2 linked regions of the Canis lupus familiaris genome follow. The protein of the gene in region 2 binds, or shares a complex with, the protein of the main gene of each other region. Links are inferred from orthologs where the notes say so. Each region holds a gene or a part of one and is shown on either strand. Other genes may lie near its edges.

Region 1 (4,294 bases), about 46 Mb from region 2:
TAGAATCCTTATATGTAAAGTTTTCCAGCAAAGCAGATGCTAAAAGATCTATATGATCAATCATTATTCTTGCTGAGCTTATGTAAATAATTAGGCCAAGTCTGTTAAAACTGGACTTGTTTTGCAGACAGGTCAGTCCTGATTTGGCTACCTCTGATTAAGAAATGAAGGTTATAGAGAGGAACTATGTTTCAATTACACATCTTTGCAGATGTTAAATTATAGCTCTGATCATCTTTAAATGAATATTGTTGCCTAAGCTAGACTACTTGAAGTAAACTTTAGAGCAATAGCTTTCCTATCTCTACACAATAGCTCAAGTATACACAATCTTTATGCTTTTTATTCTATGGGGATAATAACAGGACCTCATGGTTGTATGATTATTCAAATAACAAAAAAAATGGAATTCCCCAGCAATTGTATATACCACTAGTATTTTGACCAATTCTGTGTGGCTGGGATGACAAAATTGTTCCTTTAAAGCCAGAGCGTACTCCCACTGTATAGGGTCAACTACTGGCTTATGAAGATGATGGATGACCCCACTTTATGATTGGATTGGATGATGTACTTGGGGATGCCCTTATTTCTTGACCAGTCTTCTCCTACTTGCAAGTGATTCTTTGTAATTATAATACTGTTCAGGCTAGACCTCAAACCAAGAGGGCTTTTTGATGGTTTTATTCTTTAGTCATATTTATCCTAGAAGTCACCTCTACTAAGGTACAATTGCAAACAAAGGCTATAGCCGAGCATACAACAGCTCTTTTGGTAAAAAGAGCCTCAAAACTCACTACGGGACTTCCAGGATTTTAGACAGGACTGCAATATAAAATAAGCAAAACAGTACGCTTGCTCAGCAGGACTCTAAATACTTCCCAGGCATTGGATACACTCAATGAAGAATTAAGTCAGAGAGGGACTTTTCAAGAGCCACATCACTATTGACTGTCTACTACTGCTACACCATTTCTGGTGTGAGAAGCTTCCTCACATGTGTTGTTTAAACATTACAGTTAACTCCCACAAGGTGGCCCTATTAATTAATACGGAACATTTGTGATCCATTAAAACGATAAAGATATCCACTGATCTAGTCAACAAAATTGGTAACTGAAGGTTTTATATAAGGAATGTGATCATAATTTAGGGCCTAATATTTGTTTTATGTTTATTCTTTTGCATTAACTCCCACAAAGTTTGCTTTTTTCATAGTCTGATGGGTGTGGGGGCCATGCAGACCGAAATTTTACCACTCAACGAAAGCCTTACTATTCAGCTTCAACCTGCTTCTCCACAATACAGGCCCTCCCATACACAGAAAACATATAATTTAAGCAACTGTATTATGTAGAGCTTGCAATAAGCCTATTAATCAATGCAACTTTACACCTCCCATCCCCAACTAATGAAATTACATCTGCCAAAAGGATGGGCCATATTTTGCACTTTGTAATATGGCCTATTACACCATTCCTAAACAATTCTCGAAGTTCTGTACTAGGGGCAGGCTGGGATGGTTACTTTTCCCATTCCCAGCAGCCCCTTACTGAGAACTACCTCATCTACCCCATGTGGTTCTCATATCAGATGGGGAAACAGCCCTAGTCCTCTCCCTTGTGGCTCTCCCAGCACTAGGAAAAGTCTTAAACCATCAGATCCAACAAATTGTTTGCCTACTCAGAACTCTGAACGACAAGTCTCAAGTGTTAGATGGCCTAAATCAAGAACTAAGTGCAGTTAGGGCAGAACTTCTAAAGAACTGGGCCACTATTGATTACTACTTCAACATCACTTAAATTGTAAAGAGTTTTCACATGTGTACTGTTTTAATATAACTGACAATTCTCATAAGGTCTCACAATCAATAAATGACATTCAAGCTCAACTAGACAAAAATCAGTCTCTCCAGGATTATTTTACTGGTTTGGAAACTGGGGTCAACATTTCAGAGTTGCTGTTTTAGTCATAGAAATAACTTAGATTTTGTCTTTTTCTCTGGGTTTGCCGGGGCCTATGTCTCTTGATGCCTTCCAACATCTCCTGGGAGCCATATCTTGGACCTCGACTGACCCCTGAGAATGCCCTGCCTTTGTCCCACCACCACCACCACCACCACCACCACCACCACCACCACCACCACCACCACCACCACCACCGCAGGCCGCCCCTTTCTGCCTGAAGCAGCCAGAGGAGTCATCCCATCCTCCCATTCCCTAACGGCAGTTAGGGTTACTATTCCAGGAGGAGGAATGATGTAAAAAAAAAAAAAAAATACTATTAGCTGATTATTCATTCTGAAAGGTGTAATTTTCCTGATAGCAGAATTAACTACCCTTGACGAGATCTCACGTGAACCTTTCTCAGCACCTATCACATCCCAAGTAAATAGCCCTGGCATCTAAGTATGTAGACATTGCTTATCACGGAAAGGACCCAGCACACCCCATTTCCCAAACAAGACAAGAGCAGCTGTGCTTTGACAGTCCGTACAATCACCAGCACCCTGGGCAGGTCCGAGGCCCTACCGGAGGCGGGGGCGGCGGAGGCCGGACCCCCTCGCACCCCTCTTTGTGCCGCGGTCCTCCCCCCCCCCCCCCGCCCTGCTCCGACCTACGTGGGGCCCTGATGGCAAGGCGCCAGCACCACCCCCTGCCCCCGCCCGCCCCAGGCCCGCTCCTCCGGGTCTCCCTTAGGAGGCGGCGTTCGCGGGGGGGGGTGGGAGGGTAAGGCCCAAGGGCAGCCCGGAAAAAGGGGGCCGCGGGGCGGGAGGCGGGGCCCGGGGCGCTCCGGGGGGCGCAGGTCGTGGCCTTACCCGCCGAGGGGGGCGGCTCTCCCGCGCCGCCGGACGCCAGGGTCACGGCGCCGTCCCTCCAGACGCGGATCTGCGCGGCGGAGCGCAGGCGGCCCCGGGGCTGGCGGCGGCCGGCGTCCGCGGCGCGCAGGGAGGCGCAGCACTGGTAGCACACGGCCCACGCCTGCTCCTCGTTGATGGGCTGGTTGTAGAGCCGCAGGATGTCCTCCAGGCTCAGCGCGTCCGGGGGCCCCTCGCCGTCCGCCGGCTCCGCCCGGGGCCCCCCGCCGCCCGCCGGGCCCGCCGGCTGAGCCATCCCGCGGGTCGGCGCTGCGCACCGCCGCCGCGCCGGGTGCCGCCGTCTCCTCGGCTCGGGAGACTCGTCTGGGCGCGCCGCCGCCGCCTCCTCCCCGGAGCCGCCCCGCCCCGCCCGGCCGCGCGCGCCGCCGCCACGCCAGCCCGTAGCGACGCGAGGGCGTCCGCCGGCCCCGCCCCGCCCCGCCCCGCCCCGCCCCGCCCCGCGGCCGGGCAGCTGCGCGCTCGGTGCCGGTCCGCACGGTCCGGAGCTGCTGCGTGCGCCGCGCTGCCCGCCGCGCCGAGCCGGGGGCCGGGTCCCGCCGCGTCCGAGCAGGAGCTGGACGTCAGGCTGAAGCAGATCCCGACCAAGGCCTGGGAGCGGCTCGGCCCCGGCTCCGCGGTCCTGCGCATCTCGAGCTCCGCGCCGGTGCTCCCGGTGCACGGACTTCGCGCTGCCCCCGGCCTCGTCCCCCCGTCATCCTCCGGACCCTCCTCTGCTCTTTTGGGAGTAGCTGTCGCCACCAATATACTCTATAATTCGGGATCCCTGGGTGGCGCAGCGGTTTGGCGCCTGCCTTCGGCCCAGGGCGCGATCCTGGAGACCCGGGATCGAGTCCCGCGTCGGGCTCCCGGTGCATGGAGCCTGCTTCTCCCTCTGCCTCTCTCTTTCTCTCTCTCTCTCTCTGTGATGTGACTATCATAAATAAATAAAAATTTAAAAAAATGTTATAATTCACTGAGGAGTATTGTTTACTGAACAGGCCCTCACATCTTCATTGTAAACCCCGTGACCTTTTGTGGGTTTTGGTCAATTCCCAGATCAGGGCCTGGGATATAAACATGTAAACACTTTGTGGACCCTCGTTTCAGCGTCTTTCCGGATTCGTTTCGTAACGTTTGTACAGCTCCTCGCTAAGATAATGTCTCCTATGATCACACTCCTTCTAGTCCAGTTAACCCAGAATGTTCAGACGATTTGGAATTAATGTCACAGTGGCAACATGGAAATGAGGGCAATTAGCCATACAATGAAAGAAATACTGTACTCCCCAGAGCCTCGCTGAATTCATGAAGTCCTGCAACATAACACGATTCTTAGATAAAATAATCACTTAACGAGCTTAATTGGTAACTTTCCACTTTGAGGCTAGTCCTGTGTAAGAACCTGAGAGAGTTGAAAGCATCCACCAAGAAATTTAT
Region 2 (3,820 bases):
ATAGACATCTGTTTATATGAATTATATTTTTCCTCTTAACTTGGCTTTATTTCCTTAGGTTCCTTTATGAACTGTCACTAATCCCCAACTTTTCAGAGCGAGTCTTTTGTATCCTGTTCCAGTCCACATTTTCAGAAAGTATTTGCTCAATTCGTCGTAAACTGGAATTGCTACAGAAATTGTGTGAGGTGGGTTCTGGTCTGTAGAATGCTGACAGTTGAGTTCTGATGTTGAATTGTGTTCAGTCGTGTTCATATTTTAAAAACTTTTTTTATTGTATTCTCTAAGTATGCATAAATTTTCAGGAGAGCAGTTCCACAGAAGAGAAGGTACCACAATGGCTTCCAGATCAAAGCAAATGATGATTGGTGCACACTGTCACAGGGTGCTATCGCTGGAGTATGCTGGTTGGGCTCCTACCTCCAGGGATTTCTGTTCCCTCTGCTTTTGCCAAAATGGTCTGATCCTGTCCTACCTCAGACTCCAGATTCGATGTGATTTGAAGGCATTTCATTTACTTTCCTTCAGTTTTGGAAGGGGCCTTCAACAAACTGTTAATGATTCTATCCAAATAGTTTAGGAACAGCTGTATGACTCAACAGCAGATAAATATTCTTCCAAAAATAAAGAATAAATGCTTGGCAGAAAGTTACCAATATTACCATTTAAAACAATTTGTCAAAAATCAATTGTACCATTCGTTCTCGTTGTGGTAAATCATTTTGAAAACTAGTAAGATGTTATTAAAGACACATTTTCAGAGGAAAGAAGACATGCAAATTGCAGCTGAGCTTTGTGTTTTGGAAGAAGTGAGTGTGAACTTTTCAGGGATAAATCTAAATTTGGAATTAATCTTTATAGCCGTGTTTTGGTTTCCCACAGCTTGTGCCAAAAGTTTCTATTGCTCCAGAGTTAGGTACAATTAGGGTGATGGCAATGACATTATTTTGTAGTAGTTCTCCTATTACAACCTTATTTGTTTTCTGTGCAATTATATCATAGAAATAGCCTAGAATGGTATCTCTCAGTTTACAAATGTATATCTGAATGTTGTAGGTGGCAACTTCTTAAAATTAACTTTGGAAACACTGCTCTTAAAATACCCTAATAATAAGCACTGATACATTTTGATTGTCACCCAAAATTATTAGTGTAATATCTGCCACTGATTTAAGATAATTCAAAGAAAACTTTGTCTGAGAGAGAAAATGTTCTTTATGCTGTTTTGCAGACATTAAAAAATGGTCCAGGGGTTATGCAGATTCTGGGTTTGGTTCTTGCTTTTGGCAACTACATGAATGGTGGAAACAAGACTCGAGGACAGGCGGATGGCTTTGGATTAGACATTCTTCCGAAGCTGAAAGATGTCAAAAGCAGTGTAAGTATTTTGTATGAATGAATGTAGGCAATTTGAGGATTAGATGTTTTGTTTAGTAATAAGCTTGACTCTAAACCTGTTGCAATAAATGTTTCTTTATGTTCCGAATTCTTTATCTTCTGAGTCAGATAAAAGTATATGGCCATCAAAAGTTTATGGTTTTGTGAATAATAATACTTTCTAAAATGAGTAATTGTGAATCCTATGACTAATGAATAATTGAGTAGAGAACTTTTAAATAGAATGAAAAATAATGATTTTTATCATTACCATGTCTGCTAATATTTATCGCTTTGGACTCTGAGGACTACTTTTCATAAATTAGACATTCTTCTTCTCTTCTATGTTAAATAATGGAGGCGAACAGGCTTGTGCTTTTAAAACAAAGCAAAGATGGGTGAAAATAGATTGTAAATAAAATGTAAAAGATGATCCTGCTTTTCTACATATCATTCTCCCCTTTATACTGATATGTGTGAGAATGTCTAAGCCTTTTTGCAGGACTAATTAATTTTTGATCTGCTTCTATACTTGTATTTGTTTAAAATTAACATCTCAGATTATGAGAGTGTCAGTAAAAATAGAAGATTAAGGAAACAACTATGATGTTTAGAGTTAATGTCTGAGACTGTAAACTTAGAAAATAGTAGAATTCTGTTTCTCTGATAGAAGAATCTCCACACAGAACTGTTTGATAAAGGAAATTAGGGTCATGTTTTTAAAATAGTAAATTTAAGTAAACAACTGACTCATAGAAATGGAAATACTAGAATTGTTTTTCCTAGATAATGAATATAGTTCACCCTTGAATGATGCAGAGGCACTGACCTCCTGCTCAGTTGAAGATCCACACATAACTTTTGACTCTCCCAAAGCTTAACTACCAATAGCCTACTGTTGTTGATGAGAAGTCTTACGATAACATTACTTGACACCTATTTCTTGTTACATGTAATGTATACAGTATTCTTACAATAGAGTAAGCTAGGGAAAAGAAAATGTTATTAACAAGATCAAAAGGAAGAGAAAATATATTCCCAGTACTGTACTGTATTTGTTGAAAAAACCTATGTGTAAGAGGACTCACACAATTCAAACTCATGTTATTCAACGGTCAACTATAATCTCCCACATAAGAAAGACATACTTCTTTTTGTTTTTTCTATTGGCCCACAAATAATTTGCTCATTCATTCATACTTCTACTCATACATCCATTTACCATTCTTTCATTGAGTTCTGTGATATGCAACACACTGCTCTTCCAAAATTCAATAAAGCTATCATCCTGTTTTGCAACACCAGCAGCATATAATTTTCGTGATTTTTAAAATTCAGATCCTATCATATTTGTATGTCACAAGTTTTCACAGGAACCTCCAATTTGTCAACCTAATAAATCATATTTATCCAAAAGCAAAAGCTCTCTTTGAAGCACTTGAATGTGGCTCATAGTTCTTCTTCTTCAAAGCACTATGAATGTGGTTCATAGTAAGAATGATGGCTGGTTTGAAACAAGTAACATTTGCAAATAACACTGGAATATAAATATCATCAACACAATATTTAACTTACAAAAGTGGATCTGAAATAGATTCTGTAATCATAATTATATATGAATAAGGGATTATTTGTTTTTTTATTGTTTGATATATCTTATTCAATCCCCCAATAAGTTAAATTTTATTAATTTAAATAACTAAGGAGAAATCTAGATAAAATTACATAAAAAATCAAGAAGCAAGATTTTATTTTATAATTTCACTTGCAGTCTCACAATATATAAAGTCTTCCTGATTTGGTTCTTTCTCTATAAAACAAATATAACTATATCTACTTCTTAGTAGTATTTGTAGGCCTACATGGACAGAGCTGTTATTTAGATGACTTAGAATTTTCACTCAGCATGCGTATCAGCACACATTTAATAAATGCTTTGTTAATTGATTCATATACTGTTAACCATTGCATTGATATATGTTAGGAAAGAGAAAGGTAAGTTGCTTAAATTATTTACAAGCAAAGTCTCTTTCTAATAAATACACTGCTTTTATTATTGTAATATATTACTGCATAATATATTATTATTATAAATTACTATGAGGGAAGTCTAAAAGGTGAATTCATATCAAATTAAATTATAAAGGGATATTGCTTTTTATAAATAGAGGGAAAATGATGTTTAGGCTGAACACTTTAGGAGATGTAGTTTGTGTCATAAGGTTTTTAAAAATATATATATATATATTTGTCTTCCCACATTCAAATTATCTAGCAGTAATTTCAAGTGATGCAAAAAAGAGAAATAATTAAAACTTAATACCTCTAAGTATGCCAGAAAAAGAGTGAAAAACTATTCCTTGAAAACTATTAGAATAGAAACAATTCTACATGTTTTTCTATAGTAGTAAATACATTGCATTATTTATAGTAGTGAGGATAT

The links.
Region 1: the proteins of FMN2 (region 2) and SPIRE1 are in contact, whole or in part, in a crystal structure (PDB 2YLE), measured with the Homo sapiens proteins. The link is inferred for Canis lupus familiaris from reciprocal best matches to the Homo sapiens genes FMN2 and SPIRE1. Residues at the interface, in NP_064450.3 of Homo sapiens: Ser1702, Leu1703, Lys1705, Ile1706, Lys1707, Pro1708, Arg1709, His1710, Gly1713, Ile1714, Lys1715, Lys1717, Ile1718, Lys1721, Thr1722; in NP_001122098.1 of Homo sapiens: Gln51, Pro52, Ile53, Asn54, Glu127, Ile131, Tyr134, Lys135, Asp138, Leu141, Lys142, Glu143, Asn144, Glu145, Glu146, Arg147, Glu148, Glu154, Ile157, Asp158, Ala161, Asn162, Thr163, Val164, Glu165.

What each region holds. Positions count from the first base shown.
Region 1 is NC_049228.1:78,148,065-78,152,358, forward strand, and holds the start of SPIRE1 (protein spire homolog 1), read right to left. Parts: upstream 3,114-4,294; coding exon 2,819-3,113; intron 1-2,818.
Region 2 is NC_049228.1:31,820,334-31,824,153, forward strand, and holds part of FMN2 (formin-2), read left to right. Parts: intron 1-58; coding exon 59-188; intron 189-1,231; coding exon 1,232-1,378; intron 1,379-3,820. UniProt on the Homo sapiens protein: Actin-binding protein that is involved in actin cytoskeleton assembly and reorganization. Acts as an actin nucleation factor and promotes assembly of actin filaments together with SPIRE1 and SPIRE2.